5 linked regions of the Macaca fascicularis genome follow. The protein of the gene in region 1 interacts with the protein of each later gene in a pairwise test. Links are inferred from orthologs where the notes say so. Each region holds a gene or a part of one and is shown in the gene's direction. Other genes may lie near its edges.

The links.
Region 2: the proteins of TRIM69 (region 1) and ASNS interact in binary tests that used the Homo sapiens proteins (3 or more experiments, as listed by UniProt). The two-hybrid records come from large-scale screens. The link is inferred for Macaca fascicularis from reciprocal best matches to the Homo sapiens genes TRIM69 and ASNS.
Region 3: the proteins of TRIM69 (region 1) and FAM110A interact in binary tests that used the Homo sapiens proteins (3 or more experiments, as listed by UniProt). The two-hybrid records come from large-scale screens. The link is inferred for Macaca fascicularis from reciprocal best matches to the Homo sapiens genes TRIM69 and FAM110A.
Region 4: the proteins of TRIM69 (region 1) and NEK8 interact in binary tests that used the Homo sapiens proteins (3 or more experiments, as listed by UniProt). The two-hybrid records come from large-scale screens. The link is inferred for Macaca fascicularis from reciprocal best matches to the Homo sapiens genes TRIM69 and NEK8.
Region 5: the proteins of TRIM69 (region 1) and MAGEA4 interact in binary tests that used the Homo sapiens proteins (3 or more experiments, as listed by UniProt). The two-hybrid records come from large-scale screens. The link is inferred for Macaca fascicularis from reciprocal best matches to the Homo sapiens genes TRIM69 and MAGEA4.

Annotation. Positions count from the first base shown.
Region 1 is NC_088381.1:21,358,688-21,362,199, forward strand, and holds part of TRIM69 (E3 ubiquitin-protein ligase TRIM69), read left to right. Parts: intron 1-3,354; coding exon 3,355-3,512.
Region 2 is NC_088377.1:123,498,113-123,502,140, forward strand, and holds the start of ASNS (asparagine synthetase [glutamine-hydrolyzing]), read left to right. Parts: upstream 1-1,226; 5' UTR 1,227-1,274; exon of another isoform or gene 1,275-1,365; 5' UTR 1,366-1,675; exon of another isoform or gene 1,676-2,039; intron 2,040-3,765; exon of another isoform or gene 3,766-3,801; intron 3,802-4,028.
Region 3 is NC_088384.1:86,552,373-86,556,517, reverse strand, and holds the start of FAM110A (protein FAM110A), read left to right. Parts: upstream 1-1,343; 5' UTR 1,344-1,580; intron 1,581-4,145.
Region 4 is NC_088390.1:34,201,692-34,205,674, forward strand, and holds the start of NEK8 (serine/threonine-protein kinase Nek8), read left to right. Parts: upstream 1-1,181; 5' UTR 1,182-1,243; coding exon 1,244-1,323; intron 1,324-1,856; exon of another isoform or gene 1,857-1,880; coding exon of another isoform or gene 1,881-1,927; intron 1,928-3,983. UniProt on the Homo sapiens protein: Required for renal tubular integrity. May regulate local cytoskeletal structure in kidney tubule epithelial cells. May regulate ciliary biogenesis through targeting of proteins to the cilia.
Region 5 is NC_088395.1:157,991,076-157,995,222, forward strand, and holds the start of MAGEA4 (melanoma-associated antigen 4), read left to right. Parts: upstream 1-1,345; 5' UTR 1,346-1,362; intron 1,363-1,966; exon of another isoform or gene 1,967-1,985; intron 1,986-4,147. UniProt on the Homo sapiens protein: Regulates cell proliferation through the inhibition of cell cycle arrest at the G1 phase. Also negatively regulates p53-mediated apoptosis.

The DNA of each region.
Region 1 (3,512 bases):
TGCTTTGGCCTCGCCTCCCAAAGTGCTGGGATTACAGGCATGAGCCACCATGCTCTGCCTATATTCTTTACTCTTTCCTTCTGCTAGCTTTGGTTTGGCTTGTACCTGTCTTTCTAGTTCTAGGGAAAATTTTGGTTATTGATTTGTGGTCTTTCTTTTTTAATGTAGGTGTTTATAGCTATAACTTTCCTTGTTAGCACTGTTTTCACTGTATCCCATAAGTTTTGGCATGCTGTGTTTTTTTATTTGTTTTTGAGACAGAGTCTTGTTTTGTCACCCATGCTGGAGTGCGTAGGTGTGATCTTGACTCACTGCAACCTCCACTTCCTGGGTTCAAGTGATCCTCCTACCTCAGCCTCCCCAGTAGCTGGGACCATGGACATGTTCCATTATGCCCAGCTAATTTTTTTTTTTTTTTTTAATATTTTTGGTAGAGGCAGGGTTTCACTAGTTTGCCCAGGCTGGTCTCAAGGTCCTGAGCACAAGTGATTGGCCTGCCTCAGCCTCCCAAAGTGCTGGGATTAGAGGTGTGAGCCACTGTGCACAGCCTGCATTTTTGTTTTTACTCATCTCAAAGTATTTTCTAATATTACTTGTAATTTCTTCTTTGACCAATTGGTTAAGAATGTATTGTTTAATTTTCACATATTTATGAATTTTGCAGTTTTCCTTCTGTTATTGATTTTTAGTTTCATTCCATTGTAGTAAGAGATATTTTGTATGATTTTTTTTTTTTTTTTTTTTTTTTCCCTGAGTCAAGGTCTTGCTCTGTCACCCAGGCTGGAGTACAGTGGCACAACCTTGGCTCACTGCAGTCTTGACCTCCTGGGCTCAAGTAATCCTCTCACCTCAGCCTCCTGAGTAGCTGGGACTACAGGCATGTGTCACCATGACCAGCTAATTTTTGTACTTTTTTTTTGGAGAGATAGGGTTTCATCATGTTGCCCAGGCTGGTCTCGAACTCTTGAGCTCAAGCAATCCACCTACCTTGGCCTCCCAAAGTTTTGGGATTACAGGCATGTGCCACTGTGCCTGGCTGGTTTTCATCTTTTAAGAATGTATTGAGACTTGTTTTCTGACCTAGCATATGGTCTATCCTGGAGAATGTTCCATGTACACTTAAGAAAAATGTATATTCTGTTGTTGTTGGATGAAGTGTTCTTTATATGTCTATTAGGTCTAGTTGGCTTACAGTGTTGTTCAATTCTTCTGTTTCCTTACTGACCTTCTATCTTGTTGGTCTGTCCATTATTGAAACTGTGGGGTATTGGAATTTACAAGTATTATTGTAGAACTATTTCTATCTTCAAATTTGTCTCTTTTTGCTTCACATATTTTGAGGCTCTGTTGTTGGGTGTGTATATGTTTATACTTGTTTTATCTTCTTGATGGATTGACCCTTTTATCATATCCTTGATAATGTCCTTCTTTGCATTCTTGTAACAAGTTTAACAATTTTTACCTTAAAGTCTATTTTACCTGATATAAGTAGAGCTACTACATCTTTTTTGGGTAAATATTTGTATGGATTATCTTTCCAACTTTTTACTTTCAACTTGTTTGTGTATTTGGTTCTAAGGTGAGTCTCCTGTAGATAGCCTATAGTTGGTTCATATTATTTTTATTTATTTATTTTTTTGAGACGGAGTCTCGCTGTGTCGCCCAGGCTGGAGTGCAGTGGCCAGATCTCAGCTCATTGCAAGCTCCGCCTCCCGGGTTTTTACGCCATTCTCCTGCCTCAGCCTCCCGAGTAGCTGGGACTACAGGCGCCCGCCACCTCGCCCGGCTAGTTTTTTGCATTTTTTAGCAGAGACGGGGTTTCACCATGTTAGCCAGGATGGTCTCGAACTCCTGACCTCGTGATCCGCCCGTCTCGGCCTCCCAAAGTGCTGGGATTACAGGCTTGAGCCACCGCGCCCGGCCGGTTCATATTATTTTTATCCATTTTCCTAATCTCTGCCTTTCAGTCAGAAGTTAATCTATTTCATCTAAAGTAATTACTGATAAGGAAAGACTTACCTATGCCATTTTGTTATTTATTTTCTCTATGTGCTTTTTTGTTTCTAAATTCTTTCATTACTTCCCTTTTTTGTGATTAATTGATTTTTTTCTAGCATAACATTTTGATTCCTTTCTCTTTTCTTTTTCTTTATATTGCTTAGTAGTTTTTTCTTTAGTAGTTACCTGAGGGTTATAATTAGTCAACTTTATAATGATCAAGGGTGAATTAATGCCAACTTAGTTTTAATAGTACAAGGCAAAAATTTTTACTATAAAAACTGCTCCTTTTCAGCTCTGTTCTCTCCTTTTTGTTGTTATTATCACAAATTATCTCTTTACACATTGCATATCCATTAACACACATAACTATTGTTTTGTGCGTTTGTCTTTTAAATTGAATAGGGGAAAAAGAGGAGTTAGAAACCAAAAACTGCATTATTGGACTTTACCTATGTAGCTACTTTTTCACTGGTCTCTACTTATTTATATGACTTTGAGGTACTTCCTAGTTTCCTTTCCCGAGTAGTTGGGACCACAGGTATGAGTCACTGCGCCAGCTTCTGTATTTATGTTTCTGAAATGTGTGTGGTTTTTTTTTTTTTTTTTTTTTTTTTGAGACAGAGTCTTGCTCTGTTGCCCAGGCTGGAGCGCAGTGGCACAATCTCGGCTCACTGAAAGCTCTGCCTCTGGGTTCATGCCATTCTCCTGCCTCGCCTCCTGAGTAGCTGGGACTACAGGCGCCCGCCACCATGCCTGGCTAATTTTTTATATTTTTAGTAGAGACTGGGTTTCACTTGTGTTAGCCAGGATGATCTCGATCTCCTGACCCCATGATCCGCCCACCTTGGCCTCCCAAAGTGCTAGGATTACAGGCGTGAGCCACCGCGCCCGGCCTGAAATGTGTTTTTTAAAAAGGAGTGAAGAGGACCCTGGATGGTTGATAATATAATACTACTGACTGAGAAATCTGATTGATTTTCCAATTCTTCATACATAATTTCTAGAAAACAAAAATAGAATAAAGGTAATAACTAGTAGAGCAGAAGCTGAAAATAAAACTTTCAACAGATACATGGGGAAAGTGGGTAAAGAGAGAGATGTACAACAAAGTACATTTCTTTGACTTAGTACTGTTTCTTCCTCTACTTTGATTCTTCATTAAAGTTTAAATAGCATCATATGCCATAATGTCAGAAAACACTCAATTTACTGGTTCACTTTCAAAGGACAGATTATGTGCTTTTACTTTAGTTGTACCAATTTTCAGCTCCTTTAGGAATGGAGCCCATCATCCTGGAGTGTTAAAATGGGCAAAAAGAAAGATAAACTCATTCTAGCTGTTCTTTTCTAAAGGTATCCTCCAACTCCTCCAACATCGATCCAGGCAACTATGTTGAAATTAACGATTCAATCGCCCACCTACCTTCTAAAGTGGTGATACAAGATATTACTATGGAGCTACACTGCCCACTGTGCAACGATTGGTTCCATGACCCACTGATGCTAAGCTG
Region 2 (4,028 bases), on another chromosome or scaffold:
AGTACATTCTCAAGGGTGGGGAGAATTACAAAGAACCTTCTTAAGGATGGGGGAGAGATTTGTAAAATGTAGATAGAAGACCTACTTTCCCACATTGCTTTCCCACATTACTTTCCCACATTGGTCTCAGGTTTAAAATACATCAATTAGGATACAGCAAAGTCTGTTTGATACTGAAAACTTTCCAGCAAGAATGATCCTTAGAACAAGTCATCTCTCATCTTTGCTCTTGCCTGTAACTACTAAGCGACTACTCCATCTTCTGCGCTTAGGGATTTTAAATTGTTGGCATTTTTGATTTAGCCGGGAATGCGTTGTGTGGGGATATCAAACCTGCATGCTCCCCGAGCATTGACTGTAGTCTGATCATAGTAGGTCATGCACATATAATTTTACTATTTCTCAATTTATTTCAGTGCTGATGCAATTAGCAAAATACGATTTAAGAGTGTTATGATACTCTCTTAAATCGTGATGTCTTTTCTTCATCAAAGCGATACTTAAAAGCACATAATCATCTTGTGGAGGCAGGCTGACAAAATACTTTTTGAGATTCTAAAAGGAATCTTTGTACTTAAAATGTTTAAGGACCACTGATGTATTTTGGCTTCATGTATCAATCAGATTTAGATTTTATTTTATTGTTTTAGAGATGGGGGTCTCCCTTTGTCGCCCAGGCTGGAGTGGAGCTCACCGCAGCCTCAAACTCCTGGGCTCAAGCCGTCCCTCTGCCTCAGCCTCCTGAGTTGCTGGGGCTACAAGGTGTGCCACCATTTTTTGTAGAGATGTGATCTCGCTGTGTTTCCCAAGCTGGTCTTGAACTCCTGGTTTCAAGTGATCCTCTTGCCTTGGCTTCTCAACGTGTTGAGATTACAGGCGTGAGCCACCACTCTTGGCCCCGATTTATTAATAGATTTTATAAGGACATTTTAGGCCTCACGCATCAGTTTCTTAGAACAAGCTTTTCTCTGCACTGCATACTAAATCAGACGGTAGTGCGACAAATAAACGGTGATGATTTCCCTAAGAACAAATCAAGTACAGAAAACTCCCTAATTGTCAGAACAGCAGGTAGTCTGGACGGATCTCTGAGGCTATCCTTAAACAGGTGCACTGAGACGCAATGTGCTGGAAACAAAAGAGCTCCTCCTTGCGCCCTCCCACCGCCCCACTCAATCCTGCTCCGCCCTGGCCACCCTGCGGCCCCGCCCCTATGCGCGCTGGTTGGTCCTCGCAGGCATGATGAAACTTCCCGCACGCATTACAGGAGCCAGGTCGGTATAAGCGCCCGCAGTCTCGCCGCCCAGCACGCTGTCCGCTGCCCGGCCCCCGCTCACCGTATCTCCTTGACTTGCTTACGCCCAGGTGAGCCGGACCCTGCGCTCCGCGCCGTGCGCCCAGCGCCAGCACACTCCTGGTGTGCCCTGCGGCTGCTCCGGGAAGAGGGGGAGGAGGATGCGTCCTTAAGCCTGGCACCCGGCAGACGCAGTTCGGGGGCGCCTGCTGATGCTGCGGCTCCTGCGGTAGAGAGGGCGGGGCGGACGCCTAGCGATTGTTGCGCAACTGGCAGGTAGCGGAAGGACCTCTCTGTCCTGGTCCCCTGAGGCATCAAGAGGGAACCACGACCGGGAGGCCGGGCTGCTCCGGAGAGAAGGCAGCGGCGGTCTGAGTCCCTGTAAATGTTACATGTGTACTTTTTTTACTATGTGGCGTCGAAGCCTGTGGACATTTTCGCAGTCCGGGCCCCTGCGGCGGACTGGTCGGAGCGTGCTGGTGGCCAGGGCGCAGTCAGGCGTCGCGTGGTCCTGATCTAGGAAGAAGAGACTCTGGCTTTATTACCGCCTCGGTGTCTGTGCTTTCCCCTTCAACTGCCCCCGTCCTCACCTGGACCCCTCACCTTCCTCCTCCGCTCTCACCCCGCCACCCCTGCCAGTTCCCACCCCTCTCTGTAGACTGCAAGACTTAACAAGTGACTTGCTGAGCAAACCCTGCCGAGAAGAGGTCTGTTTAGGGACACAGGCGGCCAAGTACAGAAAAAGGTAGAAGAACTAGCGTGCCTTTTTTAGTGGATGTCATTTTACAGGGCTGGCTTCAGATGATTGTTATAGCTTTAAATAAAAGGACAGTTTTCTTCTCGGCCGTTGGCCTACATTATTTCTTTACTGTCCATTGCCCTGGGCGCTTGACTAATAATTTAACAGCAGTTTTTTTTTTTTTTTTTTTAATTTTAAATCATGATTCATAGCATTGCTGTAAGAGTAATTAGAGGTAAAATAGGGCTTGAACTTGTCTGTAGTTGGTTACTTACTGACATCTTAACATAAAAGTAAGGTGAGAGGGTGAAGTTTTAAGTAACGTAAAGTGGAATAGAAATTAAATGCCCTGAAACTGCCATGTCCGGTTCGGTAGGCGCTAGCTACCTGTAGCTGTTGAGCACTTGAAATGCTGGCTAGTCCTAATTGAGGTGTGTTGTGTTAAATACACTGGATTTTGTCGTTGGAGTAGGAAGAACAGTGTAAAATATCTGCTTGATAATTTTTTATATTGATTACATACATGTTAAAATGATACTATTTGGGACATATTGAGTTAAGTATATTTAAAATTAATTTCACCTTTTTCTTTTAATGGGGCTACTAGTATATTTAACATTACATACGTGGCTCACATATTTATTGGACAGCACTGCTCTAGAAGTTTAAGAAGAAATAAGAAAAATATTGAGAACAGGTTGCGGTAGTAGGAACTTTGCCCTTCTATAAGACCGATACCAATAAAAATAATAGGTTAGAGTTTTAATTGGACTTTTCCTACTAGAAAAAATAAGTGTACTTTACATGCCCCTTTGTTCTCCCTCTTTCCCCTCCAGTTTAGAGGTTAGCGTGTATTTATTATAGCAGGATTAATACAGGGATTCACTAAGCGGCGTTAAGAAAACTTAGGTAAATGATTCCCTGATGACCACACTTGATTTTCAAAGCACTTTCCTAACCCATTTTTAACTGGTATAGAGTCAAAGGCAGATGGCTTATTAGTAGTCATCTCATTTAAATCTTACGGAATTTTTCCAGTAAATCTCAAATAATTTGTTGTAGGCTATTTGGGCTATTTGGTCAAGTGCATGGAAGGGACAGCATAGGACATGTGGTACTTCATTTCCAAATTGCTTGAGATGATTTTCATTATAACCATATATTATTTGGTTCTGGTTTTCTGGAAAAGCCAGCTAAACCTTTGGTGCTTTTAGATATAAATGAAATATCACCAAAGGATTGCTCAAAGTGACTTATGCAACTTGAATATATATTTTTCCCTTAGGGTGTTTATCCCAAATTATCTGGGCATTTGCTGCAATTTGCAGTTTTTTTTTAAAAAAAACACCAAAATAGTTATTTTTCAAGTTAGAGATGTTTTAATAAAAACAGTCATTTTGAGCTGGCAGCAGCCAAATAAAACAGCGCTTTATTTCACAGTTGAGAATTGGAAATTGGAAAGTAATTAACATATGTGAGGATGACTTACTTGCTTCCTGGCTTATAGGGATGAGCCAAGTTTTTATTAGGGATGTTGTTGCTGTATATGTCCCACCTAATTTGCTTCCTTACTGAACAATGCAACTTTGAGACAGAAATATTTGAGAACATTTTTGTCACTTGGGACATTTTGATAGTGAACATTTTGTATCTTCTATTAACTTAAAATGTTTTGTTTGTTATAAAGCCAGGATATCTGATATCAAATTAAATTGTTTTCTTTTCCCTTTAGATTTTCTTCAATCACATCTGAATAAATCACTTAGAGGTAACCTAGATGTAATATGGTGAAATGCTTAAAAGAGCTGTGTATCTTAGTATTACACTTACAGCAGTATGATTTTCTGTTGTATACATTATATTGTACCTGCAGCTAGTTCAGATAAAGAGAGGGCATTTAACTGTCAAGACAACCTGAGAGGAGACTCTAGTAATCTGGAAAGTCTCTTGGATCTTTGAGGGATTTTGGGATGGAGAGAGTGGGGCTGGGATCTC
Region 3 (4,145 bases), on another chromosome or scaffold:
CCCTATCTTTAAATCTCTTTTAGCTACTTCACTTTTATTTTTATTTTTTTGAGATGATCTGTTGCCCAGGTTGGGGTGCAGTGGCATGATCTCAGCTCACTGCATCCCCCACATCCCAGGTTCAATCTATTCTCCTGCCTCATCCTCCCGAGTAGCTGGGATTACAGGCTTGTAGCACCACGCCTGGGTAATTTTTGTATTTTTAGTAGAGACAAGGTTTCACTATGTTGGCCAGGCTGGTCTTCAACTCCTGACTTCAGGTGATTTGATCGCCTCAGCCTCCCAAAGTGCTGGGATTACAGGCGTGAGCCACTGCTCCTGGTGGCTGCTTCATTTTTAATGGCTGCATAATATTCCTCATCAGAAAGTGGGAATAATTAGGCTAGTCGGCGTGGCTCATGCCTGTAATTCTAGAACTTTGGAAGGCTGAGTTGGTAGGATTACTTGAGTCCAGGAGTTTAAGACCAGTCTGGGCAACATGGCAAAACCCTGTCTCTACAAAAAATACAGAAAATACCGGGTGTGGTAGTGCACACCTGTAGTCCCAGCTACTCGGGAGGCTGAGGTGGGAAGATTGCTTGACCCCAGGAGACTGAGGCTGCTGTAAGCTGAGATCCCACCACTGCACTCCAGCCAGGGTGACTCCATCTCAAAAAAAAAAAAAAAGGAAAGAAAAAAAGAAAGTGTTAATAATTAAAAGTACTTTTAGAGGGTTATGTCATAAGCCTTGACAAGAGTTGTTCTGTAAAGCTACCTGGCATGTAAAACGCTCAATTAAGTTAGTTAGCTCTTCCACAGGATGGAATTATATAACCAACCCCTTTCAAGAGGCATTTAAGTTGTTTCCATTATTTTGTCATGATGAATAAGGCTGAGCAATATTAATCTTTGCTCATATCTTTGGTCATTTCCTTTGTAAATTTCAGGACTGCTGGGTGTGCACATTTTAAAATTAACTCACTCATCATCATGCAGTTAGGAGAACAGAGAAAGGAAGGGGCTGTGCGGGGTCACATAGGGAGTTAGCGTCAAAGTCAGGACTAGGAATCAACCAGGGTCCTCTAACTGGAGCTCTTCCAGCTGGTGCCCTAGAGGAAGTCCCAGCTGCAAGCCGGAGGGAGGAGGAAGGGAAAGAACCAGGCGCCGGGTCTGAAGCGGCGGCAGGAAGAAGGTGGGGCCGGTTGGGAGGTGGGGGCGGAGCTGCTGAGCCGCGCCGCTCCTTCAGGCTGCAGAAGCTAAGCGGTCGCCTGGCAACCCCGGCGGCGCGCCGTTCGAACGGAAGCGAGGAACCAATCAGGAAGTCCGGGTCGAACCATTCTGGAGTGAAGGGGGGCGGGGTGCTCACTTCCCCTTTCTCGGCGCTCGAGGGACTTTCCCTGCGGTGGGGGCCTTCGACAGTCAGGGCCACCCGCTCAGCTCGACTGCGGAGGGCAGTTCCGAAGGGGACCCCAAAGGTGCCCACGCGGGGCTGGGGCCTCCTGGGCGCCGTTGGGAGCGGTCACTACCAGCCCGGGTCCGAGCTGTCAGCCTCTCCGAAGACTGCGCGGAAGGAGCCGGGACACGCCTAGGACGAGCTCCAGGTGAGGGCGCGGGTGGTTCCGGGTGCGACCCGGGGTCTGGGGGACTCTGTTCCCCGAGCGCCTGCTGTCTGCTTTCTCCCCGCGTCGTACCTGCGTGTCATTTCACAGATGAGGACTCTGAGGTTCAGAGAGGCAAGTGTCCTGGCTCGGCGAGCTCTGGCAGAGAATCCAGTTCAAGGCTTTCCGCCCTACCTCGCAGCCCCTAGTCTAGTCGTATCTAGACTTGCCTTGAGAGGTACAGACGGGCAACTAGTAGTCATTTTCCCAGCATTTTATCGGCAGGGACACGGCCTATGGACCCCTGGCTGGATCACCTATCCCTGCGCCCCACACTGTCCTCGGGATACCCCTTTTGGGCGTCTTTCTTCTCCGCAGTCCGGGGTTGGACTCGGCTCATTTGGCGCCCTTCTGCCTACTGGGCTCTGAACTCCAGAGCTCCCCCTCTCAGAGGACCACTCTTTAGCCATCGGATGGCACTGACATTTCTGGGCTGGATATAGGGGCAGCAGATTCTCCAGCCCCCAGAGTCGCTGCTGGCCTCTTGGGAATCTTCCCCGGTCTGGGGAAGGGAATAAAGCCAGTCCCTGAACCAAAGCCACTAGTCACCAGAGACTTTGGAATTGGGGGTGGGGCCGGGATTCCCTCAGGAGGAGCATCTGATCTAGGCCAGATCCTGCTCTGTCTCCTGGGGACACCCCTTGCCCCCTAGGTTGCTATTGTCAGTCTCCTTTTGTAGGTGGGGAAACTGAGGTTCTAAGAAGTTAAGCCTCTTGTCGAAGTCCCAGTCAGACAATGCAGTGGTTATTAGCTCCTGGTCCCTCTGGCTTCAATCTTAGAATCCTTGACACCCAGAGTCATGCATTTTGAGAGTCTTGAATCTCTTCATAAGGGAGTTACATATCTCCTCTCCTCTGGAGCCTCCCCCTGGCTTTGGGGACAGGATCTCCGAACACTCAGAAAACAAGCCTTTCCTTTATTCTTTCAACAAATATTATTGACTTCATAAGCCTTGCTCTTGTTCTTGCATGTTTTGTTTTTCTCAGTAGCATTTACTCCACCTTATGTCCTATATATTTTACTTATTAGCAAATTTATCACCTTCTCCCACTGTGATGCAAGGCAGGGGCTGAGGCAATTGAGGTCCTCACCACCAGTGCAAAATTTAGGGATGCCCTGAACCTCAGTAATCAAGATAACTGAAACTAATGTTCATGGACCATTTGTATGTTCTGCAGGCAGGAGGTTAACTCACACAGCCTTCATGAAGCACAGTCCTCCCATCTCATTCTCTCTCTCTCTCTCTATATATATGTGTGTGTGTATGTGTGTGTGTGTATATATATATGCATATTTATAAATCGTGAAACCACTGCCCTGTCCCTGACTTGCTCTGTGACATTGAGTAAGTTTCTTCAGTCTCTGGGCTGAGCTAAGAAGTCATGATGGTGCACTCAGGCCTGGGCAGAGGGCGGTCTAGGATAGGAAGCAGACTTGGTTGTGGATTACAAATACATCCCCCAGACTCAGCTGTCCCACTTCTAAGCAAAATGATGTAGATGCAGTGATGCTGCAGTGTGGTTTGTAGGCAGAAATGAGACACACTCTAAGTGGCCACCAGTAGGGGATGATGGGAAATTCTACTGTGCAGCTGGGAAAAAGGACATGCTCTTTATGTACTGATGTGGCACCAAGAACAAAACATACTATTGAGCAAAAAGAACAAGATGAAAATGGTACACATAGCATCATGACGCCATATGTGTAACAATGGAGACAGAATATATATTCATACTTGCCTGCATCTGCCTAAAGTCTCTCAGGAAGGATAAGCAACTGTCTGGTCACGATGGTGCCTGCAGGGAGGAGAAATGGGGACAGGGTGGGAGGAGGTTGTTGTTGTTTTTTTTTTTTAAACTTCACTATCTTTACCGTTTTTGAATTTTGAGTTGTGTGCATGTATCATCTATTTTAAAAATTTAAAAATTAAGGCCAGGTGCGGTGGCTCACGCCTGTAATCTCAGCACTTTGGGAGGCCAAGGCGGGTGGATCACTTGAGGTCAGGAGTTTCAGACCAGCCTGGCCAACGTGGTGAAACCTCATCTTTACTAAAAAATACAAAAATTAGCCGGATGTGGTGGCACGAGCCTATAATCCCAGCTACTTGGGAGGCTGAGGCAGGAGAATCACTTAAACCTGGGAGGTGGAGGTTGCGGTGATCCCGGTGCACTCCAGCCTGGGTGACAACAGGAAAACTCTGTCTAAAAAATAAAATTACATATATATATGTGTGTGTGTGTGTATGTATGTATGTGTGTGTGTATATATATATATATATATATATATATATATGCATGTTTATAAATCATGAGACCACTGCCCTGTCCCTGACTTGCTCTGTGACACTAAGTTTCTTCAGTCTCTGGGCTGAGCTAAGAAGTCATGATGGTGTACTCAGGCCTGGGCAGAGGGCGGTCTAGGATAGGAAGTGGGCTTGGCTATGGATCTGCCTCCCACTCACCTTTCTAATCCTGCGTGCCAGGTCCTTCCCCAAGACCTTGCATGTGT
Region 4 (3,983 bases), on another chromosome or scaffold:
TCCCGGGGCCGGGCGGCTGTCACAGTCCTCCCTCAGACAGTCCCGGCCCTCGGCCTGGCTCCCCGGAGGCTGGGCAAGCAAGACCGCGGATTTGCCGGGACTGCTGGGGTGACCCGCGCTCTCCAGGCCGGTAGCTTGCAGCAGTTGCGGCTCCTGGCCACTAGGTGTCAGCCTGCCCTCACTGTGGCGCGGGCTTCCTCTCCCGCCTCCGAGCGAGGCGGCTGCTTTCGGGGAAAGTTTAGGTAAACTGGGCGAAAGGAGGAGCCGCTGAGAGCTAGCGAGGGAAGTGAAGCGGGGGTGAGGGCGGGGAGGGAGAAGAGGGTGGTAATAGAAGAGGGGAGGGAAGAAGTGAGGGAGGGGAAAGGTGCTGCGGGAGGGAGGAAAAAGCCAAAAACCTGAGGCGCAAGGACCCACGGACCAAGCCGTTTGAGTGTTTTCCTCCCCTATGGCTCCAAGGTTACACATTAACCCCTGTGGGACTCCTAGGTTAATCAAGGCGCAGTCGGTTTCTAGGTGAGAGCACTGGTGTCCCGGGTGAGCGGCTTTCCCGCCCCTCCCCTTGGCTCACAGAGCTGCTCTGTCCGCCGGCCGACACCGGCCTGAGCCAGCGCCCATCAGCAGTCCTTCCCCGTGGGCGGGTTTGGGTACCCTTGCGAAAGCCGGGGCAGGGTTTCTTTCTTTCTTTCTTTCTTTTTTTTTGAGATGGAGCCTCACTCTGTCGCCCAGGCTGGAGTGCAGTGGCACGATCTCGGCTCACTGCAACCTCCGCCTCCCAGATTCAAGAGATTCTCCTGCCTCACCCTCCCGAGTAGCTGGGATTACAGGCGAGCACGACCATGTCCAACTTTTTGTATTTTTAGTAGAGATGAGGTTTTACCATGTTGGCCAGGGTGGTCTCAAACGCTTGACCTCAGGTGATCTGCCCGCCTCGGCCTCCCAAAGTGCTGGAATTACAGGCGTGAGCCACCTCGCCTGGCCGAATACTGAGTTTTTATAGAGCTCCAGCTGAGCAGGAGCCCGGGAGAACCTGGAATTAACCTCACTTCCGGTAAAGAGCCTAGCTAGTCACACTAACCAGCCCTCTGCCTCTAGGCTTTGTCTTGAGCTCATTTCGGCGAAACCGCGGTCTTTCCTTTTCCCCTTGATGCTTTCAGGTAGTGATTCACTTCCGCCCCCATCTTCCCCCATGGGGTTCACCCTAGATGAGCACTGAGGGCAGATTACCCTCCTGCAGTGCGTGTGTATGAAAAGCGAGTTGAGAGTCCTGACCAGCGCGGTGCTCACTAGTCGGGACGGCCTGAGACCGTGTCATGTCCTCCCCAGGTGAATCAACTTGCACAACTTGGGATTTCCCTCGTCCCTCCCTAGGCAAACACGAAACTAACTCTGCTGCCTTCTCCCAGGAGCGCTGGCCTCGGTCGTTTTGGTTGTGTTTATCGTTTGTGTGCCAAAGAGAACCCGATTTCTCCTGAAATAGCGTCACTCGTGGGCAAGAAGGGGGTCGATCCTCTTCCCACCCCCGCCCGGCCTGTGGGGTGCAACTCTCAGGAACGCGACATCCTTTTAGTCTAGCAAGCTTTACAAGGGCTGGGTATATGCTTGGGAGGGGCGGGTACCGTGCCCGCCATTGCGGGGCGCGCCCTATTTTCTTGCCCTATCCCTTGGACACTGCGTGGGGCAGGGTCGTGAGGGGAAAGGTGACGGCGTGTCGCAGCGGCAGGTGTGTGGTGCAGGCCCACAAATACGGACGCGTGGCGAAACCCACACCTAGCGCGCTGGCTCCGCCCCGCAAGCCGCTCGCCGTGAAGGGGCGGGGCCCAGAGTGGCTGGGTCCGCGCACGCGCCGCGGGGGAGACGGAAGTGAAACGCTAAGAAATGAGATGGAGAAGTACGAGCGGATCCGAGTGGTGGGGAGAGGTGCCTTCGGGTGAGCCAGGGCTCTGGGGGAGGAAACTGCTAAAGGATAGGGAAAATAAGCCCCAATTCTGCCCGCGAACTCGCCGCCCGCCTAGACCCGCCCCAAGGCGTGTACGCTACTCTGGGAAGCTCCGCCCAAGCTTCCGGTCCCTATCCCGCGGGGAGACTCCGCCTCTACGTGGGCCACGCCCCTGACAAGCCCATTGGCCCGCCCACTGAGTTCTGTTAGATTCTTTATTCATTGGTTTTACAAATACTGAGTGCCAGCTATGTATGTCAGGCTTTGGGCCCTGGGTATGCTGTTAGAACCGGAACAGGCGTGGTCTTTTCCCTCTTGGAACTTACTGACTATGGGAAAGTTATACAATAAACAAAACATTATGAATTAAGAAGTTATAGCAGTTATGAAGGGTTATTAGCAGGTTGTGAGGCTAGAGTACATTACCAGGGAGAATACTTATATGAGATGGTCAAGGAAGAATTCTCTGAGAAGGGAGATTGATTGATTGATTGATTGATTGATTTTTGAGACAGAGTCTCCCTCTGTCACCCAGGCTGGAATTCAGTGTCGCGATCTCGGCACACTGCAACCACCACCTCCCGGGTTCAAGCAATCGTTGTGCCTCAGCCTCCAGAGTAGCTAGGATTACAGGCGTGCGCCACCACGCCCGGCTAAATTTTTTTGAATTTTTTTTTTTTTTTTTTTTTTTTTGAGACAGAGTCTCCCTCCCTCTGTCGCCAGACTGGAGTGCAGTGACGTGATCTCGGCTCACTGCAACCTCTGCCCCCCGGTTCAAGCGATTCTCCTGCCTCAGCCTCCCGAGTAGCTGGGACTACAGGCACGCACCACCATGCCCAGCTAATTTTTTTTGTATTTTTAGTAGAGACGGGGTTTCGCCATGTTGGCCAGGCTGGTCTCAAATTCCTGACCTCAGGTGATCCGTCCGCCCCAGCCTCCCAAAGTGCTGGGATTACAGGCGTGAGTCACCGCGCCAGGCCAGAAGTGAGATTTAAGGCCAAGACTTGAGGAATGAGAACCAGTAGTCTGAAGGTGAAGTGAGAGCTTTTCAGGCAAAAGAAATAGCATATGTGAAATTTCTCACATGGGAAAACAGAGCATTGAAGAAACTGAGAAAAAGACTAGCATAGTTGGAATGTAGTGGGCAAGATAGAGAATGGTATGAAATGTAATTGTCGAGGGCGGGGACTAGATTATGGCCTGATAACCTGAGGTAAAAGGGTTCATTTGCCACAAAGGGTTTTGTTTTGTTTTTGTTTTTGAGACGGAGACTTGCACTGTCGCTCAGGCTAGAGTTCAGTGGCACGATCTCAGTTCACTGCAACCTCCGCCGCCCAGGTTCAAGCAATTCTTCTGCCTCAGCCTCCTGAGTAGCTGGGACTACAGTCACACGCCACAATGCCTGGCTAATTTTTTATTTATTGTTATTTTATTTTATTTTTATTTATTTATTTATTTTTTGAGACAGAGTCTCCCTCTGTTGCCCAGGCTGGAGTGCAATGGCACCATCTCGGCTCACTGCAACCCCTGCCTCCTGGGTTCACACCATTCTTCTGCCCAGCCTCCCGAGCAGCTGTGACTACAGGCGCCTGCCACCATGCCTGGCTAATTTTTTTGTAGTTTTTAGTAGAGACGGAGTTTCACTATGTTAGCCAGTATGGTCTCGATCTCCTGACCTAGTGATCTGCCCGCCTCAGCCTCCCAAAATGCTGGGATTACAGGCGTGAGCCACCGTGCCCGGCCCCAGTTTTCAGGTTTTTTTTTGTTTTTTTTTTTGTTTTTGAGACGGAGTCTTGCTCTGTCACCTAGGCTGGAGGGCAGTGGCGCAATCTAGGCTCACTGCAAGCTCCGCCTCCCAGTTTCTCGCCATTCTACTGCCTCAGTCTCCCGAGTAGCTGGGACTACAGGCGCCTGCCACCACGCCTGGCTAATTTTTTGTATTTTTAGTAGAGAGGGGGTTTCACCATGTTAGCCAGGATGGTAAGATTTTTAAATTACATTCTGGGACTGGGATGGTGGCTCATGCCTATAATCCCAGCATTTTGGG
Region 5 (4,147 bases), on another chromosome or scaffold:
ACCCCCATCCACGTTGAATCAGGCTCCGCTTCCATTTCCAACCCAAGGAAGCCCCAGGTGCCTGGACGTGATGCCACTGACTTTTGCATTGGGGGTTAGAGAGAAGTGAGCTGCTCTGTGTGACTGGCACCTTGGGATTGGCAGAGGGAAGCGGGCCAGGCCCTGTGAGGAGTCAAGGTGTGACGCTGAGGGAGGACTCAGGAGGCCCCCACCCCAGATAGACGACCCCAGATAATCCCGGACCACTCCTGTTGCCAGCCCTGGGCCACCTGTGGGCAGACTTCTGAGTCTGGGGCACCCACCACCTCACTGCCTCTGAAGTCGAAGGGCACTCTGGAATCAGAGTATGGTGTGATCAATGCAAGATGGGCGGGGGAAAGGTTGGCCAGGCACCAACCTCACAACCAAAAGAGAGGGCTGAATGTCCCCCAACCCTATTCCCCTTCCCCACCCCCATTCCCACCCCCACCCTGTTCGCATTCGAACTCCTAAAAACCATCCACAATCCCATCCCCCACTAGCCCAGGTATATTCCCCAACACCCCACCACCTTCATACCACCGTCTCCCACCCCAAAATTCCCACCCCCTCCACCGTCACCCCTCCCTCCCCCATCCATGCTGATTCGGGTTCCGCTTCTGCTTTTAACCCAGGAAAGCCCCAGGTGCCCGGATGTGAGGCCACTGACTTGCACACTGGGGGTTAGAGAGAAGCGAGCTTCTCTGACCGGCACTTTGGGATTGGCAAGGGAAGGGGGCCAGGTCCTGTGAGGAGTGAAGATGAGATGCTGAGGGAGGACTCAGGAGTCCCCATCCGAGATAGACGACCCCAAATAGTCCCAGACCACTCCTGCTGCCAGCCCTGGGCCACCCATGGGCGGACTTCTGAGTCTGGGGCACCCACCACCCCACTGCCTCTGAAGTTTCAGGGGACTCGAGTCAGAGCTTGGGGTGATCAGTGCAAGACTAGTGAAGGCAGGCTCTGCCGGGCATCAACCTCAGGAGCATGAGAGAAGGCTGAGCTTACCGCACCCCTATTCCCATCCCCCACCTCCATTCCCATCCCCCCCCGTTTCCATTCCCATTCACAACCCTCCATCCCCCATCCCCCACCAGCAACCCTATCCTCCCCAACCCCCCACCACCCTCATACCACCATCTCCCACACAAAAATACCCGCTCCCTCCACCAACGTCACCCCTCCCACTCCCATCCACGCTTCCACTTTCAACCCAAGGAAGTCCCAGGTGCCCGGATGTGATGCCACTGACTTGCGCATTGGGGGTTAGAGAGAAGCTTCTTTGTCTGACCGGTACCTTGGGACTGGTGGGGGGAAGCGGGCCAGGCCCTGTGAGGAGTCAAGGTGAGATGCTGAGGGAGGACTCAGGAGGCCCCCACCCCAGATAGGCGACCCCAAATAATCCTGGACCACTCCTGCTGCCAGCCCTGGACCACCCGTGGGTGGACTTCTGAGTGTGGGGCACCCACCACGCCACTGCCTCTGAAGTCGCTGGGGACTCTGGAGTCACAGCTTGGGGTGATCAGTGCAAGACTGGTTAGGGCAGGCTCTGCCGGGCATCAACCTCAGGACCATAAGAGAGGGCTGAGCTTATCCCACCCCTATTCCTATCCCCCACCCCCTTCCCATCCCTCACGCTGTTCCCTTTCCCATTCCCATTCGCACTCCCAAACCCATCCACACTCCCATCCCTCTGCAGCACCCCATCCATCCTCCCCAATCCACCACCATCCTCATACCGCCGTCTCCCACCCCAAAAAGCCTGCCCCCTCCACCATCCTCATCCCTCCCACTGCCATCCACGCTGAATCGGGTTCTGCTTCCGCTTTCAACCCCAGGACGCCCCAGGTGCCCGGATGTGAGCCAATGACTTGCGCGTTGGGGGTCAGAGAGAAGCGAGCTTCTCTGTCTGACAGGGAGCTTGGGATTGGCGGAGGGAAGCGGGCCAGGCCCTTTGAGGAGTGAAGGTGAGATGCTGAGGGAGGACTTAGGAGGCCCCCACCCCAGATAAACGACCCCAAATAATCCCGCACCATTCCTGCTGCCAGCCCTGGGCCACCCGTGGGCAGACTTCTGAGTCTGGGTCACCCGCCACTCCACTGCCTCTGAAGTCACAGGCGACTCTCGAGTCAGAGCTTGGGGGGATCTGTGCAAGACTGGTGAGGGCAGGCTCTGCCAGGCGTCAACCTCAGGACTGTAAGAGAGGGCTGAGGGTCCCCCACCCCGTTCCCATTTTCATCCACACTCCCAACCCCATCTACACCCCCATTCCCCACCAGTACTCCTATCCTCCCCAAACTCCCACCACCCTGATATCCCCACCCCCAAACCTCTACCCCTATCCAGGCTGAATCACTGCCCTCATATCCCCACCCCAAAACCTCTACTCCCATCCAGGCTGAATCGGGTTCCAGTTCCACTTTCAACCCAGGGAAGCCCCAGGTGCCCGGATGTGATGCCAGTGACTTGCGCATTGGGGGTTAGAGAGAAGCTAGCTTCTTGGTCTGACAGGCAGCTTGGGCTTGGCAGAGGGAAGCCGGCCCAGGCTCTCTGAGGTGGCAAGGTGAGAAGCTGAGGGAGGACTCGGGAGACCCTCCCCACTGCAGATGGATGACCCCAAATAATCTAGCACCACTCCTGCTTTCAGCCCTGGGTCACTCGTGGGCGGACATCTGAGTCTGGGGCCCACCACTCCACTGCCGCTTAAGCCGCAGGGGACTGTTCAGTCAGAGCTTGGTGTAATCAGTGCAAGACTGGTGGGGACAGGCTTTGCTAACCTTCAACATCAGGACCCTAGGAGAGGGTGGAGCGTCCCCCACCCCATTCCTATCCCCTACCCTGTTCCCATTCCCATCCGCACTCCCAACCCCATCTGTACCCCCATCCCCCACCTGTGCCCCTATGCTCCCCAACACCCCCCACCAGCCTCATGCCCCCCACCTTCATCCCCATCCGTGCAGAATCTGGTTACACCCCTGCTTTCAATCCAGGCAAGCCCTGGGTGGCCGGATGTGATGCCACTGACTTGTGCATTGGGGATTAGAGGGAAGCGAGGTTCTGGTTCTGAAGAACGGCTTGAGATTGTCAGACAGAAGGGGGCCCAGGCTTTGTGAGCAGGCAGTCAGACTCTGAGGGAGGATTCAGGACACCCTTATCCCTGATAGAAGGTCCCAGCCCTGGACCATCGCGGAGGCTGACTTCTCAGGCTAGGCCGCCGCCTCCAGCTTCCCACCCCACCACCACCTGTCCCCACACCCGGTCCCCACAGGAGACTCTGGAGTCAGAGCGTGGTGTGACCATGGAAGGGATGCTTAGGAGAGGGCACTATCTGGGCTCTGCCAGGCATCAAGGTCAGGAATCTCAGGGAGGGCTGAGGGCCTCCAAGAGTCCACTGCAATCCCCACTCTCATGACCCACCCCCACTTCATTGCCATTCCCACCCCTATCCACCACTCCTATACCTCAACCCAGATCTCCTTCCGCTCTGCCTTTCCACCCACACCCCTCCCACCGGAACCCCCACCCTGGCAGAATACAGTTCAGCCCCTGCTGTCAATCCAGGAAAGTCCCTGGTACCCGAATGTGACGCCACTGACTTGCTCATTGGGAGTTAGAGAGAAGCAAGGTTCTCCTTAGGGGGAGCTTGACATCAGCAGAGAGAAGTGAGCCCAGGCTCTGAGGAGGCAAGGTGAGAGGCTGAGGGAGGTCTCAGAAGGGCCCCCCCCCAGATAGAGGGCCCCAATTAATCCAGCACCATCCCTACTGCCAGCCCTGGACCACCCAGGAGGCCGACTTCTCAGGCTGGGCTGCTCCCCACCACCGCCCCTGTTGCAACCCGTTTGTTTAAGCCACAGGAGACTCTGGAGTCAGAGGTTGGTGTGATCAGGGCAGGGCTGGTTAGGAGAGGGCATGGCCCAGGATCTGCCAGGAATCAAAGTCAGAAACCTGAGAGGGAACTGAGGTCCCCCAAGATCCCACTCTAACCCCCATTCCCACAAATCCCCTACCACTTCGCTGCCCCATTTCCCATTCCTTGCCCTCCAACCTCACCAGGCAGAATCCAGTTCCCCTTCTGCTATCAATCCAGGGAAACCCCAGACTTGGTGCTGGGACGTTTTGGGGGTCAGAG